Linked DNA regions of Arabidopsis thaliana. The protein of the gene in region 2 interacts with the protein of the main gene of each other region in a pairwise test. Each region holds a gene or a part of one and is shown on either strand. Other genes may lie near its edges. The genes, in order: AT3G08930, AT4G01410, PHT4;1 and AT5G50520.

Region 1 (6,372 bases), on a different chromosome or scaffold from region 2:
GGTCTGAGATAACCGTCTTAGCCTTTTTGGGAGATGCTTTCTTGGTTCCGAATCCGAACCGGGCTGTGAACCGGCTTGAATTGGAGCTAATGTCGGAAACCACCCGGGTACCCATGATTGAAGAAGCAGCAGCGGCGGTTGAAGTGGCGGCCATCTCCGGCGTCGTTAGTTAGTTCTGTCGCGTTTGCGGTTTGTAACTTATCTGAAGCAAATGGCGTTTTTAAGTGGCGGTATGTGTGTGGGAGAGATCTCAGAGAACGAATCTTGACGGTTAGATGGAGAAACAAATCCATCTGACGGTAGGAAACAAAATCAGCCTTATCTATAAAAAGCTCGCGTTATCTATCCTGTCTGTCTTTTAGAGTTAGATGAGGCAAGCAAGCTGATTGGGCAAAAGAAGCTATTGACGAATCGCATAGCAACGCCACTTGTCACTTCAGCAGCACATGTCCACTTGTATAGTTGTATGCCTTGCATACTAAACAAATTCAAGAATATTGATAATCCGGTTAGGTTCGGTTACAATTGTCTCAAACCACAAAGGAAGTCTCTGTCTTGTAAAAATTCGAAGAAGGCTTCTCATTAAGAAAATATGATTACATGATCGCATCCGAGACAGTACAATAGACCAAGACAGGACAGCTAACTGTTGCGCAACCAAACAGCACACTCACAAGAAATTTAATAATACATTCAGGAAAATAAACCTCAGAAGCAGAGTCTCTAGATACTTCTGGAATCGATGATGATCCAGAAACAAGTAGAAACTTTGTCGACAGCACTCAATCAGATCCCCGTGAAAACGTTTTACATTAAGAAGAGAGCTGGAAACGGCCACTAGTTTTTTTTCTTCTCCATCCCTGCCAAAACACCAAAGACCATATGATTCTACAAATACTTAATACAGAAGAGAAAACCCGAGGAGTAACATCAACGAGGACTTACAAAGGCAATGTAATATAGGAAAGTCAGTCCAGCCAGGATAACAAACCCGATTTGGAACACATTGTACCTGAAATATAAAACCTCAATAAGACGCATCACGGATATAGCATATGACTGCTATATGTTATACCACTTCTACTTACTTGTAAAGGTACTTAATTCCTCTAAGGGACTGCAATGTGTGGCCAAATATCTCCTGGGCAGCAGTGGCTTGAGCGTAATATCCAAATGCAGTGGCACAAAATTGAATCACGCTGCATTTTAAATGAACCACATTACTCAGACTGTGAGGATTAACATGTAATTGTGAGGGTAGCAGCTGTATATTAAAAGTCTTGGTTTGACATCTAATAGAGTACAAAGGATACCCAAGTGCATGAGTAAAGTAACTATAAACTTCGATTCAGGCATTCGCCGGAAAGGAAATTAGTTTTAGTGATGGCATGAAAACACTGATAAGTTAATGTATGCACATAAACATGCTTGATCTAGATCCGTTTATCAGAGTGCACTTGATCCCAACAGATACAAAGGCAGAAGAAGAGACCAGAGAGACTTACCTGATTGAACAAAGAAGAATGAGGCCGACATTGAAGAGGAAAGAGTTCATTAGAGTAGCTCCCCATCTGAAATAAGTTGATATGGCCAATCAGCAATCAAGAGAAGGTAATGAATGACCTTGGAAAATAGCCAAATAATGTTGAAACCGGTTAGATGGATTACTTCATTGGATGAATGGTAATGAAGACCAGCTTCAAACCCAGCATCATTGCCCCAGCGATAACAGCAAGTAGAAGGTAGAAACAGAAGAAAGCAAAGGCAGCAGTGCCTAAAAGACCTGGAGATTTCCACACGTACCAGCATGGAGTCAGTTAGAAACAAAGAAGAAACCTTATACAGGATAACAAGGACAAAAGTATGAACTTACCCCAAACATCATCAAGCTTAATGAAAACCTCGTTAAGAAAAGGGGAGAGAGGAGGGTCGACGAGTAGATATATGATGATGTGTGCAACCCAAGCAATGGAAACGATCAATCTACAAAGACATTAAAAATTTGCCATTTAAAAAGACGCTTAGCTCGGGAGCTTAAGAGTGCAAACCTAAATATGCAAGAACTGTATGCATTATGCATGATTTATACAACATGTAACAAAAAAAAATGCAAAGGAGGTTTCTGCTTAGATGTACTAACCCTACGATTCCAAGAATAAACTTGGCCAAGTATCCGAGCACAGTGAAAGCCCATGCAGTTTCTGCCTGGAAAAAGGTACCAGGGAATAAAATAGTTGAACAAGAAAAATATTATAGTATAAGTTCTAAGATACACTCGTCTTACCTGCTCTCCTTGAGGATACATCTCTTCTAAGAGGTTCACATCTTCCTCCAATTGGAGCAACTCCTGCAGGGTTACCACATTCAATTATAGGATTGAGGGGACACAGCTTAAATCCACAACCAAGCAAAGAAAAGCTACCAATAAAGTCAATAACCAATTCTACTATCTCACTAGCTTTTCACTACAAGTTGTCATTCTCATAACTCCACAGACGACCAAAGCCTCTTTACACACAAGGGACCAGTATGAATAGGCAAACTTTCCAAGTTGCTACTTATGAAACAAAATTTAGATAAGATACTGAACCTTGAGATATATGAGGTACCTTTTCAACTGCTTTCACATTTTTCCGCCATTTCCTGCCCTTAGCACCACTTCTTTCTTCCTGATGAAGTCCATCAGCTGCTTTCTTTAGTTCTCTTGCCTTTTTACCTAGTTCGGTTGCCTCCTGTAATATATTTATGGAGTTAATCATGCAAGAGACAGAGGGATTGACTCAAGATCTAGAGAGATGCTTCCAGAGGAGAACAATAACCAGACCTTTATATATTGTGATCGAGTGATAACAGCCTTTGGTCGCCTGATGAATGCAGTGATAAGTCCTAATGGTAGACATGCAATACCAACACCACCAAATATCTAGAAATATTTGAGAGAACAATTAGTTATCAGATTTTTTTTACTGAAATGTATAAATCAAACATCTATTTACTTCAATGGATACAGAATTATATCTTGCCATGCATCTCATCTGTTGAGAGTTTGTGTTAGTCAATGAAGAATCAACAATATAAGACAGATTAAATCCTTTCAAAGCAAACAATGCACTTCTCAACATGAAAGAACAATGGTCATACCGTGAAAAGAACTGACCCAACAATTGTCGCAAGAGCAACAACATATTCTGGAAAAGTAGTACGCATAGTCCATGTTTTCTCAGATGTGGGATTAGCTGTAAATGCTGAGCACTGCATTGATAGCCAGAGACAGGAATATGTTAAATGCTGAAACTCTCTACGGCATAAATGACTCATGATATAAAAACTAATGCTAATGCTACATTCAAGAGGCAAACATACCTGGCGAGCAGTGTTACCTATGCATGGTTGAGTATTTGAAAACTGCCAGGAAGTAGGGAAAGTGGATGTGGCAGAAGCCAAATGCCTGACCGAGAAGTCCACCTTTCCAATGACACCTACATGATGAAGATGTTACCAATAATGTTAAGGTATTCCTAGCATATAAATGGATAAGATAGATATCTCAACCCAAGCCCTGATTGGGTAATTTAAAAGCCAAAATTAACATAAGAATGCAGTCAAATCATAGAGACCAACATCAGATTCATCCTTGCCACATGCTCACTAATGGATTCAATAACCACTCCAGCTAAACAAGTATAACCTCCAGACTATCGTCATTCGTCAATACAGAAAGACGCTGAATTTCAAGTCGACAAAAGAATTGAAAACAGAGGAACAACTAACCATATAAAATTCCAAGCACCAGAGCACAAACAACAGCCGTGGTAACTACCCAAATTAAGGCACTTTTTATCCTCTTTCCAAGAGTCCTGTGAAAAAACGAAAGAAAAAAAGCCCACAAATTGTCATCAGTATTCGATTAACTCAAAACTTACAACATAGAGATACTAAAATTTCATCAAGCTACGAACTTGTCCTGGTCGCCTTCATAGAAAAACATTGCGAAGGGGATGACAAAGAACACGAGAATAGCGTCCACGATATAAATAGCAAGCCAAAGATCCTTCATGGGCAAGGTGAGATTGCAAGCTCCATTGTATATAGCATGTCGACAAGCATGCCGATTGGCCACATCAGCCGGTAACATGAGAATCGAGATCATAGCAATAGAAAGGCCAAAAACAACGACGAATTTGGGGAAATAAGCCTGGTTTGCATCATCTGGATGCTGATAGTTGACGAGAAGATAGATGCTAGAGATGAATACGATGACGCAAACAACGATCGCGACAATCACGAGAGCGAGGTTGAAATCGCCCATCGTGTGCAATGTACAACGTCCCCAATTCGAGAGATTTCGATCCCGGAACGATTTGGAAGATGTAGCACCCAATTGCAAAGGCTAGGGTTTTCTAGGAGTTCAAATTTTGAAAATTGAATTTGGGGATTTTAGTAGATCTGGATTTCTTTCTTTTTTTCCCTCTCGAAAACCAGACGAGGGAAGAAGAAAGAGGACTGGGAGAGGATGAACATTCTTGTAAATTACGAAGCTACCCTCAACAATGTGCTCTCGTGCCTAATGGCTTTGGGTGTAAACGTAAATTGTTACTAGGTTTGGAGATTAGCTGTCCGAAGCAAATGATTCGGACAAAATATTTCAACTAATGAAAGACATCTGTAAGTAATAAACCAGTGACCAATTGTGTAAACCGGACACAATTTTAAAAACAAAAAATGTCTTCACACTTGGCTCCAAAAAACCAATTTAACGACTCTTCTGGCCAAAAGACGGTAACAGTACAAGTAGTTTGAGTAAATAAAATGATACACCTCCTATCGTGGCGAACCGAAGCTCTTCGGTCCCTTCGATCTCTGGAAAATCTCCCTCGGATACTCGGTTAAACCCTCCGGTTAACCACCCTAAGCTTTTGTACCCTTCTCCGTGGAGCTTTGATACAGCCGCCAACGACCTGAGAATGAGATTGAAAAGCAACACCATTTATAACAACCAAACCGAACCAAAGAGTTCAGTTTAATTTATACTATCCAAACCAAAAGATTCTATGATCAAATCGATTGATTAATAGTTTATTTAGTTTGATAAGTTTCTCTAAAATCTGGACTAAAACTGGCAATGATTAACCAAAATGCAACATATAAAGCTGGTACCTGAGTCCTTCACCGCACACGACGAGCACTTTACTCTCTTTGTCCGGGACAGCCTCCACAACACGGAGGGCGAATTCGTCATTGATCATGGTGAATCTCTGGCCCGTCCAAAGCCCAATATATCCCAAATGAATCCATTTCTTCAGCAACGTGATCGGCCCATTGTCTGGATCTTCCACGAACAGTGGCACGTGTAAGGAACCTTTCACGCGTGCCTTTTCTCTTTCCCAAGCCGGCCTCACGTCTAACAGTATATATCCCTCCGACGCCACAACCGCATTGGCTTCTTTGGGCTCCACCGCCCGTACCTTGCCGGAAAGTATCAGCTCTTTACCGGAAACGGCGGAGATCACTGGTAATCTGTATGATTGTCGGAGGCGTCGGTTTAGTACTACTGGTAGCTTGTGGATATGGTTTAGCTGAGGAAGAAGAACTGTCATCTTTAATTCTTTTGGATTTTCAGAGGAATTTAACCAATGATATTGTTCTTCAGATTTTTCATTTTAAGAACACCCCAAAACTTCTTACTTATTTCCATTTTAGGCCCTCAGATATTTCATAATTTGACTATCACCCTCGCTTAAAGTAAAGTAACAAACATATACTAGTGGGGTCAAATGTTAAATAATAAATATATAGGGCTACTAAGTGTAAATTTCCTCTCTTTGAAACGACACCGTGATTCTTAATTCTGATAAGGTTTGACTTTTGAGCTAGGTTTGCCGAACCAAAAACAGAACCGGTAAAGACCAAATAAAAGAACCGGTCGGGTATTTCTTGTATCTCGATAAATATTTCGAACCGGTACGGAATGATCCGCTAGAGTTTTTCCCATTGAAGAAGATCGAGTGAAATTCGAAGAGCGAATCAAAGAGGAAGAAGAAGAAGGAGGAGGTATAGCAATGGGGGTCGATTATTACAAGGTTCTTCAGGTGGATCGGAATGCGAAAGACGACGACTTGAAGAAAGCTTATCGCAAACTCGCCATGAAGTGGCATCCAGACAAGAACCCTAACAACAAAAAAGACGCCGAAGCCAAATTCAAGCAGATCTCCGAAGCTTACGATGTAAATTAACAAAATGCGTTTTCTCTTTTCAGAGAGATTCCCATCTTTTGCTTGAATTTGAGCAATTGTGTAGTTTGTCAATTCACTATGGTTACTTCTCTGGCAATTAAGTAATCTTGATTTGCTTGTAGAATTGTGTTTGATAGAT
Region 2 (3,752 bases):
CAACATCACAAGCTTCTTCGACTTTCCCGAAGCTACAAAACCCTTTTACCAAACAATTTGAAACCGAGAAATGAGGAGAAAACCCTTTGGATATCATCTCTTCTAGATACTTCTTCCCTTCATCAAACATTCCTTGATCACACAATCCTCCAATCAAAGTCCTATACGAGACCGAATTAGGCGAGCAACCGTTAGACAACATATCATCAAGAACTTTCCTAGCATCCATCGCACGATCTTCTCTACAAAACCCGAGAATCATCGTGTTGTAATGAACAAGATCAGGATTACAACCTTTTAACTTCATCCTACATAGAAGCTTATAAGCCTCTCTAAGCTGTGTCTTCCTACACAAACTGTTCAACAATGTCGTGTAACTTAACCTATCAGGCACGAATCCTTTATTCAACATATCATCAAGTAATTCCATAGCACCATTCACTTGACCTTTCCTACAAAACCCTTGTATCAGAATCTTATAAGAATCCACATCAGGGACAACATCTCTCTCAAGCATTTTACCAAACAGTTGGTATGCAATACTCAAATCATCATTCAAACAAAAAGCTTGCATCAATAAATTGTAACTTCTCGTGTTAGGCATTACTCCATGAAGCCGTGAACTCTTGAAAAGCTCAAAAGCTTTCTGGAGATAACCTCTATGGCTTACGAGAACATCTAGAATCCGATTCAGATGTTTTGGCTGCGGCGTGAAATTGAACTCCAGCATTTTGTAAAACGTACTTAAGACTTTCTCCGGTAACTTTGCTTCTGCGTAGACTTTGATCAGATAAGTGAAAATTTCTCCGGTTAATGGATAACCACTTGATCTGTGTTTGGCGAGAACGTCGTCGATAAGATTGAAATATCTACCACGGCCGAGTTTGAGAATGAGGATTAGATGAGAAGATCGAGAATGGCGGAAATTGGGCTGTTGAGAAGCATAATCGAAAATCTCCTTGGCGAGGAGAGGATCCGATTGCGAAGCTATGAGCTTTTGAACCCGAGTCGGAGACCCGATTGGGGATTTAGGGTTCGAGACAATCGGTTTTCGAGCTTCATGTTCAGATGAAGAATAGAACAGAAAACGCGAGGATGTCGATAACGGAGAAGTTAAGTGGCGAAAAACGGCGGCGAAGTCGTAGATCGGCCGGCGAATCATTTGTCGGAGTTTTTTTTTAATAAATCGGCCGTTGGAAGTGAGACTTGTATCAGTCAGCAAATTATCAAATATCTCTCTGTACACAATAGTTTTAGTGTAGGCCCAATTTTATAATGGGCTTATAATTGAGGCCCAGGTAGCATCCACAGCATTGTCGGTGACTACAGTGTCGGTGGTGCGGTATCTCAGTTAGTGTGATTAAATAACAGATTCTTCTTAAATGTGATTATTATTTATTTTGGAAGCTTACTAATAATATATGGAATTTGGTCAGAAGTATTGTTGGAGATGTGGACATAAAAGACTTGTACTTTTATTTTCTAAACATTAGAACAAATATGACACATGTGGTATCTAATTAATTTATTATTAATTGCTTTATACAGTTGATAAAGAATTGTGAAATATGATAATTTAATTTTCTTTCTACATAACCGTATTCTGGCATGCAAACAGATATTAGGTTATTGCTAACTTTGACAGGCCGTAACCTGATAAATTTCATTCTAATTTTTTTAAAAATTAACACGGCCAAAAAGTGATAGTTATCACGTTGCACGAAACCATAGTTGTCACCAAATAAGTCAATCATTGACAACAAAGTATTTGATTATGTATAGCCATATGTATACACGTTACATTGGATTTTTCATTTTTAAAAAATTCATCACTCATCAGATCCGTCACGTGAACGGTTGCACCGAGATTTGGAGTCTTTCGAAAGTACTTCTCTATCTTATATTATTACATTAAGTATTATAACAAAATAAAATCACAATGTAAAAACAGTAGTAATTTACGGCTACTTTATAAAAAGATTAGCTTTAACACATAATTACAACTACAAGCTTTCTAAGTTAATAAACAATTAATAAAACTGTACTCTAGAAGACTGTTTACTCTTATTAACTAGAAAAGAGACAAAACCTTGCATCTACTTATCTTCTTTCTTCTCCTCCTCCTTCTTTAGAGTCTTCACTCTTCACCGAACCCTCTGATTCTCGTATAGACACACACATACCTATACATACACACTTTAACACTTATATCTGTAGAGTATAGCCATGGGAGAAGGAGAAGCAAAAGCAGAGCACGCAGCCAAAGCAGATCACAAGAACGCTCCCTCCGCTTCTTCAACGCCAGAATCTTACTCTAAAGAAGGCGGAGGAGGCGGTGGAGATGCTCGCCGCGCAATCTGCGGCGCGATCTTCACCATCCTTGTCATACTAGGTATCATAGCCTTAATCCTTTGGCTCGTCTACCGTCCACATAAACCACGTCTCACCGTCGTCGGAGCCGCCATCTACGACCTGAATTTCACAGCGCCGCCGTTAATCTCAACCTCCGTTCAGTTCAGCGTTTTAGCAAGAAACCCTAACCGGAGAGTCTCCATTCACTACGACAAGCTCTCTATGTACGTAACGTACAAAGATCAGATCATAACACCGCCGCTTCCACTACCACCGCTTCGTTTAGGACATAAATCTACGGTTGTGATAGCTCCGGTGATGGGAGGCAACGGTATACCAGTCTCGCCGGAAGTAGCTAATGGTTTAAAAAATGATGAAGCTTACGGCGTCGTTTTGATGAGAGTGGTGATTTTTGGGAGGCTACGTTGGAAAGCTGGTGCGATTAAGACTGGACGGTATGGATTTTACGCCAGATGTGATGTGTGGTTGAGATTTAATCCATCTTCTAACGGACAAGTTCCTCTTCTCGCTCCTTCAACTTGTAAAGTTGATGTCTAGTCTTAATTTTACTTCGTTATGTTTTCTTTTTTAATCTTTGTGTTTTAGAATTGTAATCTTTTTTTTTTGTGGTCATGTTAGTGATGAGTTTCGTCGAGTCTAGTGTTAAAATAAATTAAAAGGCATAAGCCAAAAATTATAAGTACAAGTATATTACTAATTTTATATTTTACTTGTGATAATTATTTTGTTTCTCTGTTGTTGGACCTGTGGATGTTAATTAATGACATTTGACAATACAAATGTGTTGTCGCTAATAGCGTATCTTGGCATATGGTGAGTTCATCGACACAACAGCTCAGAGTGTTTGATCAGACATATGGCATCTTCAGGCAAATCTCATTTTGGTTTTATCATATATATATTTTTCCCCCATTATTACGGAACTATTTCCTCACGATTATAATTAAATACTTAGAATATTACTATGCTTTTCTGTTTTCCGATTCAATGATATTGTTTTTTTGTAAATCTGAATCGGACGTTAGGAGTCTTCTGAATATAAGTTACATTTTTTGAATGAAGCATCCGTTTAAAACGAGTGACTAAAATGATCGTGACTCCACAAGTCATCGCGTCAAATGTAAAATTTTCATGTGAAACAGTGAAAGCGTCAAATCTAAATAATATTGTGGATGATTGTTGTGAATTTGATTAGTTGACCTGATTCAAAAATTTGATTGGTATATCATGTCAATTTTTTCTCTTTGGTTTTGGCAACTTATATCATGTCCAATTTCTTTTTGTGTTACCATTTTTCTCGAATTTTCACACGTTTGTTCTTTTTCTTTTTCCTCTTTTCCTTTTCCAAAACCCCATTTTGTCTTCACGAACCGATCTTT
Region 3 (5,229 bases), on a different chromosome or scaffold from region 2:
TTCTAATTACTCTGAATATAACTACATATTGATGAAAACTCGTCATATTTGACACTGAGATTATATATACCATGGAAATTTTGATTAGTAGAAAAAAGTTGCGCCTATTTAAAATTAATTCGTAGGCTCATATAGGATAACGATTGAAGGTCATAAATCAGATTAATTACTACCACTTGGTTGGATAAATTATTTTCATCACATTGTCGGTAGAGAATATCACATTGTACAAACTAAAAAACGTATTATTTTTTCTCATATAACCAAATCTAGAAAGTGTAATTTGGTTATAGCTTAGATGTCGTTTAGCTAATAAATATAGAAATAAAATAATAGAGAAAGGAGAGTTAGTGATGAATGATTGAAATGGTGAATGATAATTGGAGAAGTGGGCCACGTGAGAGAAGCATGTACTTTTGGAAAGTGGGTCATTTCGAAGCTCTTCCTGTCTCCATCCACATGAAGTTGGCATTCTTGTGTCTTTACGGCCTAAGTTTGCGTTTCTACCTCTTGAGAAATGAATCTTGCCTTCTTGTTTAGTGACTGGTACGGATCTAATAGTAACATGACACCATCTCATATTTCTGAATTGGACGTCTTTGAATTGAATACCATAACCTAGGTTATAGTCTACACCTACAATATTACGTGCCGATAGATCAACATGCATGATCCGTATAGTTTAGTGATCTCGTTACGTCGTTATATCAATTGGTGAAAATCATCAAGTGTTTTTTTAGGAGTGATGAATTACTGGTACATAAATTTTACGTTTCGTTTAGATTTTGGAAGACCTTGACGACACAGTGGTAGATGTTGGTAAATGGATAACGCATGCAACAAAGAAATAACGATACAACAACAATAATGATGACTTAAAAGAAGAATAAAATAAATAAAAGTGGCAGTCATAATTCATAAAAGCCTAAGCTAGGAAATTCTTATGGTAGACCAGAAGGGACACCTTCGATGAGTAAAATCTGCCGCACCACAATCTTACATCATTCTCATCCCCTAAACTTGGACCTCCTCCATTAATAAATAAGAAAGCTGCAAACGTTAATCTTCTAATTGTGATTTTGTTACAAGTTTTATAGATTCTTTGTTCTATCTAGCTACATATATTTCATACATTTCACTAATTTACAAATATGTAAGAATGTAATCAATGTAATCGACTAAGAATACATCAAACATTACCAAATTTGATTGACATTTACCTCTGTCTATTCGTCCTCAACATTATTATCCCATACGTTCATACAAATTGACATTTTACACTTAATTTTGAATATCATGATCAATACTCTCTCGCATGGGATACTTAATCAATTGTTGGATTAAATATTCTTTCGCATCTTTGTGAACGCAATTAGTGGGTGGTTTGGGTTCCACCTTTGGATCCTGCCTTTATTCCACATAAAGTAGATCACTGGTCATACTCATATCCTTACGGACAATAAACTATTGTTATTGGTATTGCCGTATTATTGTAATTCTATTCATAGGTCTACTTCCAAATCTTTGAGATTTTTTTTTCATTGGGGAAGTAAGATAGATCTCGCAATTTATGCTCGTAAGCTAACATTATTTGGGCCTTATATGGGCTTTATGTTAAACTGATAGTTAATAATGGACCTCCAATAGTTATTCTGTTAACCGTTACTTCCCGTTAGATTATGACATCCTCACTCAACCAATACTTAAACGCCACATGTCGTCACATCAGCCACGACCTTAAAAAAAAATCAATTCCTCTCTCTTAAAACAAAGAAGAAAAAAACAGAGAAGAAGAAGAAAAAATCTATCTCCGCCATGAACGCGAGAGCTCTTCTTTGCTCTTCAAATATTCACTCTCTCTACACTTCAAATCGTCCACCTGAAAAAACCTCTTCTTCTCGCAGCCTCCGTAATCTCAAACCATCTCCAAAGTCGTTACGGGTATGGATCTACCCGCGAAATAGGTCCAGTGTTTTCCGGGTATTAGTTCGGAGCTCCGACAAGAGTGAAAGCAGTAATTCGTATTACGTAGAAGGAGATAAAGTAAGTGGAAACAATGACGTCGTTTCTGATTCGCCTAGCTCTATCGTCCTCCCATGGTGGGAAGAGTTTCCGAAGCGGTGGGTGATTGTGTTACTCTGTTTCTCAGCTTTTCTTCTCTGCAATATGGACAGAGTAAGTAGCAAAAAAGATTGGATTTTTATGGATTGGGAAGAGTTATTCAATTTGGGACAGATGATGTTTTAACAGGTGAATATGAGTATAGCTATACTTCCGATGTCAGCTGAGTATGGTTGGAATCCAGCAACAGTTGGTCTGATTCAGTCTTCTTTCTTCTGGGGTTACCTTCTTACACAGGTAATCTTTTTTCCCTGATTCCTTAATTAGGGTTTCTATTTTTAGATGATCAATGTTTTTTTAAATGAGTCTCACTAGCTTTCACATTTAAATCAAAAGTGTAGTTGAATCAGTGGTTTGTTGATATTATAGATAGCTGGTGGAATTTGGGCAGACACTGTAGGAGGGAAAAGGGTTCTTGGATTCGGTGTTATTTGGTGGTCAATCGCTACAATTCTCACTCCTGTAGCTGCTAAACTCGGTCTTCCTTACTTGCTCGTTGTTCGTGCTTTCATGGGAGTTGGAGAGGTTTGTGATTACTCTTAGTGATGTTAGATATCAGTCTCGGATTTGTGTGTGTTGATAAGGAGAAGTAAGTTCTCATTTGTGTTCTCCAGGGTGTTGCAATGCCTGCTATGAATAATATATTGTCGAAGTGGGTTCCTGTGCAAGAGAGAAGCAGATCACTCGCGCTTGTTTACAGCGGAATGTACCTTGGATCTGTCACCGGTTTAGCCTTTTCGCCTTTCTTGATTCATCAATTTGGATGGCCTTCTGTGTTTTATTCTTTCGGGTCTCTTGGAACTGTATGGTTGACTCTGTGGCTAACTAAGGTCAGACTTTTTCTACTGTTCTTAACTATTTGTAGATCCCATATCTCATTACCATTGACGATTTGACGTGTGTTGTTACTTGTTATAGGCAGAGAGTTCACCATTAGAAGATCCAACATTGCTCCCTGAAGAAAGAAAGCTAATTGCAGACAACTGTGCTAGCAAAGAGCCAGTGAAGTCGATCCCGTGGAGGCTGATATTGTCGAAACCACCGGTTTGGGCTCTCATCAGTTGCCACTTTTGTCACAACTGGGGAACATTCATTCTCTTAACATGGATGCCAACTTATTACCATCAAGTCCGTTATATTACTGTCTTTTAATCAAGAGGCTTGATGTTTTATTTGTTTTCTTATCATTAATCATATGGACGGTTGTGAGGCAGGTGCTGAAGTTCAACCTTATGGAGTCAGGACTTCTCTCTGTATTTCCATGGATGACAATGGCAATATCTGCAAATGCCGGTGGATGGATTGCCGATACACTTGTCAGCCGAGGTTTCTCTGTCACGAATGTCCGCAAGGTACTTTGTATATCACTTCTTCTGTTCTTCAGTTCCGTTTTGATGCAATCTAGTAAAAGTGATACATTCGATAATCAGTTTCTATGATGAAATTCAGATAATGCAAACAATAGGGTTTCTTGGACCAGCGTTCTTCCTAACACAGCTGAAACACATAGATTCTCCTACAATGGCTGTTTTGTGCATGGCTTGTAGTCAGGGGACTGATGCGTTTTCACAGTCTGGTCTATACTCTAACCATCAAGACATCGCTCCAAGATACTCTGTAAGTTTAGTCAATTACTCCCAAGTCTTAATGAATCATGCTACTCAAAAGAAAATGGATTAGCACATTGATGTTGTTGGTCTTCTCAGGGAGTGTTACTTGGTTTGTCTAATACTGCTGGAGTACTTGCCGGAGTTCTTGGCACAGCTGCGACTGGTCACATACTACAACACGGTCAGTACTCTCAAAACACTTCGTAATTCTGACAATGCTTTGCTTAATCTTTATAAAATCTCTTCTAAGTTTCATTTTTTTTGTGTTTTCTCAATGGAATTAACAATGACATGAAATGCCTCAGGTTCTTGGGATGACGTTTTCACGATTTCGGTCGGTCTTTACCTCGTTGGGACCGTCATTTGGAACCTATTTTCAACCGGAGAGAAGATAATCGATTGATCCATTCCGAGAATAGTAAATAGTTCGGCTCCAAGACCTCTCATCAGGTGCAACTTCACCTCACGCCAGTCTCTGATTATACAAGTATCATTGCAGTCTGAGAGCTAGCCGGAATATTCCTTTTTTGCCAGAAAATTCTTCAGGATCTTTCTGCTCGTTGATTTAGGCCAAACGCATATGAATAATACTTTGTAGATGAAAGATATACAGATGATTTTTTGTAAATAAACAAAGCTCACACTTTCTCAAGATTACTCAAAATCTCTCTTCAGCTCTATATATATTTGTATCATAAAGATATTACACGCAATTCTCTAATATGCTATTGCGTAGCAAACAAGTGACCAAGAAAGAGTTTTCGAAACTTAAGGTCATAACTAAAACTTAAGATTTACTGCCACAGGTAGAATTTGATCTTGTGAAGGAGGAAGAGGAGTTTATGAATTGTATGCAGTCTTCTATTGCCGCTGATCTGTGATTATTATCATTAACGACAGAGATGACTGAAGGCTGAGATATCCCAGAAGAAGAAGCCTTCTTCAATGGTGGAGATCTCTTCTTCTTCTTCTTCCTCATCACCACCAGACGTAAGCCCATAACGAATTTACAGCTGAGATCTTTGATCAGTCTTGCTGCTGTGCATTCCGTTTTCCTCGGTAGCCTCAAACCACAGCTTGTTGTGCATCCCGGATTCTTATAATATGGTCCCTTGACTGAGGATTGCTTACCAGGAGTTACTGGTCTAGTGTTTGCATTGAACCGTTTTGTTCCTGTAGCTGACATATCAAGAGAGAGTGAGAACAAACTTGAGGAGAGTAAGGGATTATATTTATAGGGATTGATGCTGAACAAGTTGCCTATAAGAGTTCAGGTAGAGACCAGAGAAGCCATGATTCTTAATAATGTATCAATAATGACATGTTAACACTTAAAGCAATGATTACTGTAGACATTCAAAACATATACAAATAAAATATAAGCAGGTAGGTTCAATTTCATACTTACTTTAGATACTTTATGTCAAAAGGATTGTAATAACTAACAGATCTAAAGATATCAGAAACTTAAACGCCGAAATTTGGAAAGCAAAGGCAG
Region 4 (4,472 bases), on a different chromosome or scaffold from region 2:
AGCTCAAAGGACATCTTGATGCGGGTGATATCCCAAAACCTTCCTCAAGAGACAACTACTGTGGAGAAGGTAAAGTTTTCGTTAAGTTCGTGTTTTCGCTATATATGTATGTATGCTTATGCTCGTTAGTTTTGAATCTGGTTGAAATTATTCTTTTCAACTCTTAGATTTATATGAGTACTCATTTTTCGTCTTTGTTGTTTCTTTTCAATCCCATTATTCTATAGGTTATGACACCGAATCCAGAATCTGCAACAGTTGATATGGCAATTGTTGAAGCCTTACATATCATGCATAATGGCAAATTTCTGCATCTTCCTGTATTGGATAAAGGTAACAAAATGTCCTCAAAACTGACTTTGAGCTATAAAGTATGAAGCATTGTTATTTCAACACTTGTCTAATGTTGATGATTACATACAGATGGAGATGTTGTCGCTGTTATTGATGTGATCCACATAACTCATGCTGCTGTTACTACGGTACACTTTTTTTCTTCTATTATTCTCTTCTAGTTGAAGTCGAAAACATGAGACAAGATCGATAAACAATCCGAGAGAAGAAAGAACATGATATATTTGTTGCATACTATTCTTGTTTTGCTATAAACTCTTTATTTCCTTTTGACAAGGCTGGAAGTACGGCTGGAATAAACAATGAGACAGCAAACTCAATGATGCAAAAGTTTTGGGACTCTGCTATGGCTTTGTCTCCTAACGAAGATGGCGATGAAACGAGGAGGTTTCTACTCATATTCCTTTGAACCATTTAGTTTTGACCATAAGGTGGTTTCTTAAACTGGATCATATGATTTTTCAGTGAAGAAGAGTCGATGAAATTATCTTCGGAGATAGAAGTAACAAAATCATTTTCATATCCCAACACATTTGCTTTTAAACTCCAAGATAAAAAGGGACGAATGCATAGATTTATGTGTGGTACGTTAAATCATAACTCTTGAGAAACAGGACACCTATTATGCCAATGCTGCTTAGTCCATTAACCTTTTGTTTTTACTTTTCAATAACAGAAACACAGAGTTTGACAACTCTGATAACAGCAATCCTACAAAGAATGGGGGATGACATTGAGCCTGATAACTTGCCTCAGATAATGGTACATATTTATTCGAAAACTTATTAAACGAGAAGATAGGAAAAATTTTCTTCTTTTGTTGACATATTTTGTGTTGTGTAGTACGAAGATGAAGACAATGACAAAGTTGTTTTAGCATCAGATAATGATCTTGGAGCTGCTGTAGAACATGCAAAATCAATAGGCTGGAAGGTAATAAATTGTACATCCATACTTATTGTCAATTAGTGTAAAGAACTAGGATGAAATGATACCTTAAATCCGCGGTCTCGTTTTGGTTAATGTGGATTTTGGGCTAAAGAAGAGTATATTTGGGTTGGGGATTCCAAATGGTGCAGGGTTTAAAATTGCATTTGGACTACACAGAAGAAAGAGGGCACAGGAGAGGTCTAAGTTCAGAGGATATGGACTACGACCAGTCAAACTCATGGGCAGCCGCTTACAAAACGGTTGCAGCCGGGGCTGCTCTTGCTGCTGGACTTGGAGTTTTGGTGTACCTTAAGCGCAACTCAAACTAACAGATTCATTTTGGGGAGATACAAAAGTGAATGCTTTTGCAAACCAATTTTTAAACCTAAGCTTGTGAAGTGTATACCTCTTCATTGATTCGTGTTTTTTTTTTTTTTTTATCTTGTTGCTTATTTGTTTCTCAACCTTACACATGAATTGTATATAAATAAGTAAACATTTTATTTGTATTTACGGTGTTGTCCAAACTTTTCTTTGAAACTGAAAATTACAAAATAAGTAATCATATGAATCAACGAAAAAAAAAAAGAAATAGAAAGTTTTGAGAGCGTTTGACTATGATGACTTTGTGGCGTCACAAACTAGAGCTCCTAGTCAACGACCGATGGCTAGTTTTCGTCTGCGCCATGTGGGTCCAATCCGTCGCCGGCGTTGGCTATCTATTCGGCGGCTCTATGTCTCCGGCAATCAAGACTTCCCTTGGCTACAATCAGAAACAGATCGCTCTTCTCGGCGTAGCTAAAAACCTCGGTGACGCCATCGGATTCGTCTCCGGTGCTTTATCTGAAGTCTCACCTTCCTGGGTGGTTCTACTCGTCGGTGCAACTCAGAACCTTTTCGGCTACGGTGTTGTTTGGCTCGTCGTCACTGGCCAATTGCCTAATTTGCCTCTCTGGATGGTGAGATGAATTTTACAAATCAAAATTGCTTACACATTTGCGATTTCGTTAGTAATTGTGCTTTGCTTTTGATTATTTGTACGATTCTCTAATTTTGGCTTGAACTTCCAGATATTCAAAAAAAAAAAAAAAAAAAGATGTTAAAGCTTACATATGAGTGTGATCCTGCTTGATTCTGGTTTATTTGTTCATGTAGTTGTTTGTTGCTATATTCGTGGGAACAAATGGGGAAACATACTACAATACAGCGTCGCTTGTGTCATGCATTCATAACTTCCCAGAAAGCCGAGGTCCTGTGGTGGGAATCCTGAAAGGGTTTTCTGGCTTGAGTGGAGCAATCTTGACTCAGGTTTATTTGATGTTCAACCCTTCTCATGATTCTTCGGTTATTCTCATGGTTGCTCTTGGACCACCAGTCGTGGTTCTTGCTCTACTATTTATTGTTAGACCCGTGGAAAGAAGTTGCAGAACGAACTTGCGATCTGATGATTTAAGATTCCTGGCTATTTACGGTTTCTGTGTTGTCCTTGCGGTATATTTACTAGGATTGTTGGTACTTCAGAGTGTTTTTGATATGACTCAAACGATTATCACAACCTCTGGAGCCATCCTTGTCATTTTCATGGTTGTTCCAGTTCTTGTCCCTTTTTCATCGGTTTTCATCTCGGGTAATAATGTCACCTCAGTGAAGCCTGAAGAAGGAACTTCCAATGTGGATCAGCATGAGGCTAGAACTTTAATTGAGAGAAGTGACAGACCGCCGGAAAAGAAAAGAGCGCCGTGTATAGGAGAAGATTTCACCTTGTTACAAGCTTTGGGACAAGCTGACTTCTGGCTTATATTTATGTCTCTGGTTCTAGGTGTAGGTTCGGGAATCACGATTATAGACAATCTTGGTCAGATTTGTTATTCCCTCGGGTACAGCAACACCAAAATATTTGTCTCACTGATCAGCATCTCCAATTTTCTCGGCCGTGTTGCTGGTGGCTACTTCTCTGAGCTAATCATAAGGTACAAAACCCTTAACCATTTCACTTTCGCTTTTAAGAAGCATCTGTGTTTTTTACTGACAGATTCATCTCTTTCTGCCTCTTCAAAAGGAAACTCTCACTTCCAAGAACGTTGGCAATGTCTGTGGTTCAGGCGATAATGTCTTTGGGGCTCATCTACTATGCCATAGATTGGCCAGGGAAGATCTACGTAGTGACCATTGTGATAGGAATGGGTTATGGCGCTCATTGGGCGATTGCTCCTGCTTCAGTCTCTGACATTTTTGGCCTGAAGAGCTTCGGTTCTCTTTACAATTTCCAGATTACAGCTTTGCCTATTGGGTCATTTGTGTTCTCAGGTGTGATCGCTAGTAACATCTATGACTACTACGCCAGAAAGCAAGCCGGACCCACCACAGAGACTGAGTCGCTCGTCTGCACGGGCTCGGTGTGTTATTCAGTCACGTGCAGTCTCATGTCCATGTTGTGTCTAATGGCTATGGTTTTGAGTTTGAGTGTGGTTTATAGGACGAGGAAGTTTTACTTGAGGCTTCATCACCGAGTCTCAAAGACTTGAAGATAGTGTAATTGTGTAAGCAATTTTCATTTGGTCTTTGGAAGATATATGTAAGCAATTTTGAATTCCATACTCAAAATCTTTAATTGGTGTTCACAAGTATTTAAATGTAACATTAAAAAAATAATTGCCCTAAAAGAGTTAGATAACTTACATTACATAAACATAATTTTAATAGATATAAAAAAAATTCTTGAAAGAAAAATTAAAAAACCAACTATATTTGATTAATTTCTACAAATACCAACTATAGATTTTGAGTATTGAAATGGAACACTGAAATAGGGGAAATGTTTTACCATAAAATGTCATTTATATGCATGTACGAAATTCTTGTCAAATACGTATCACTTTATGGTTTTTGAACTTATGAAATTTGGATGCTTCAGTTTGATTGTGGGGAGAAACCTAGGTATCGTTCTTGTTCTATTCTCTTCTCCTTCGTTTTGAGATTTTGTGTATGGACATAATATGAAATTGGGAACTGATGAGTGCTTTGACTGAATTAAAAACATAACTGGAAAATATAAAATTAATATTTTTTACCTTAAGAGTCGTATTTGTTTACTAATCTTTACTACATGTTCATCATCTTAAAGGTGTTGAGAGTGTTTTTATCTTTACTTAAACGTTAATTCAAAACGAAGATAAGAGAAGCTAAGA

The links.
Region 1: the proteins of AT4G01410 (region 2) and AT3G08930 interact in a protein complementation assay, tested with the Arabidopsis thaliana proteins (one large-scale study listed by BioGRID).
Region 3: the proteins of AT4G01410 (region 2) and PHT4;1 interact in a protein complementation assay, tested with the Arabidopsis thaliana proteins (one large-scale study listed by BioGRID).
Region 4: the proteins of AT4G01410 (region 2) and AT5G50520 interact in a protein complementation assay, tested with the Arabidopsis thaliana proteins (one large-scale study listed by BioGRID).

The regions. Positions count from the first base shown.
Region 1 is NC_003074.8:2,711,499-2,717,870, reverse strand, and holds AT3G08930 (LMBR1-like membrane protein), read right to left. Parts: upstream 4,560-6,372; 5' UTR 4,310-4,559; coding exon 3,960-4,309; intron 3,858-3,959; coding exon 3,772-3,857; intron 3,480-3,771; coding exon 3,364-3,479; intron 3,253-3,363; coding exon 3,142-3,252; intron 2,924-3,141; coding exon 2,825-2,923; intron 2,733-2,824; coding exon 2,610-2,732; intron 2,348-2,609; coding exon 2,285-2,347; intron 2,206-2,284; coding exon 2,141-2,205; intron 1,984-2,140; coding exon 1,874-1,983; intron 1,784-1,873; coding exon 1,669-1,783; intron 1,572-1,668; coding exon 1,506-1,571; intron 1,200-1,505; coding exon 1,089-1,199; intron 1,013-1,088; coding exon 946-1,012; intron 861-945; coding exon 813-860; 3' UTR 505-812; downstream 1-504. Other genes in the region: LHCB4.2 (light harvesting complex photosystem II), read right to left, coding at 1-154; AT3G08920 (Rhodanese/Cell cycle control phosphatase superfamily protein), read right to left, coding at 4,754-4,958, 5,158-5,597; AT3G08910 (DNAJ heat shock family protein), read left to right, coding at 6,060-6,224.
Region 2 is NC_003075.7:576,082-579,833, forward strand, and holds AT4G01410 (Late embryogenesis abundant (LEA) hydroxyproline-rich glycoprotein family), read left to right. Parts: upstream 1-1,946; 5' UTR 1,947-2,226; coding exon 2,227-2,910; 3' UTR 2,911-3,206; downstream 3,207-3,752. Other genes in the region: AT4G01400 (oligomeric golgi complex subunit-like protein), read right to left, coding at 1-1,162.
Region 3 is NC_003071.7:12,672,590-12,677,818, reverse strand, and holds PHT4;1 (phosphate transporter 4;1), read left to right. Parts: upstream 1-1,741; 5' UTR 1,742-1,815; coding exon 1,816-2,175; exon of another isoform or gene 2,176-2,250; coding exon 2,251-2,358; intron 2,359-2,490; coding exon 2,491-2,646; intron 2,647-2,735; coding exon 2,736-2,951; intron 2,952-3,039; coding exon 3,040-3,249; intron 3,250-3,335; coding exon 3,336-3,473; intron 3,474-3,551; coding exon of another isoform or gene 3,552-3,560; exon of another isoform or gene 3,561-3,570; coding exon 3,571-3,738; intron 3,739-3,827; coding exon 3,828-3,912; intron 3,913-4,036; coding exon 4,037-4,134; 3' UTR 4,135-4,518; downstream 4,519-5,229. Other genes in the region: AT2G29654 (uncharacterized protein), read left to right, coding at 358-540; JOSL (JOSEPHIN-like protein), read right to left, coding at 4,519-4,910. UniProt on the Arabidopsis thaliana protein: Specific for inorganic phosphate transport across the thylakoid membrane in a sodium dependent manner. Binds glutamate but cannot transport it. May act as an ascorbate transporter at the thylakoid membrane.
Region 4 is NC_003076.8:20,569,017-20,573,488, reverse strand, and holds AT5G50520 (Major facilitator superfamily protein), read left to right. Parts: upstream 1-1,832; 5' UTR 1,833-1,901; coding exon 1,902-2,243; intron 2,244-2,439; coding exon 2,440-3,254; intron 3,255-3,343; coding exon 3,344-3,809; 3' UTR 3,810-3,956; downstream 3,957-4,472. Other genes in the region: AT5G50530 (CBS / octicosapeptide/Phox/Bemp1 (PB1) domains-containing protein), read left to right, coding at 3-69, 228-333, 424-482, 632-741, 820-938, 1,031-1,116, 1,198-1,287, 1,434-1,613.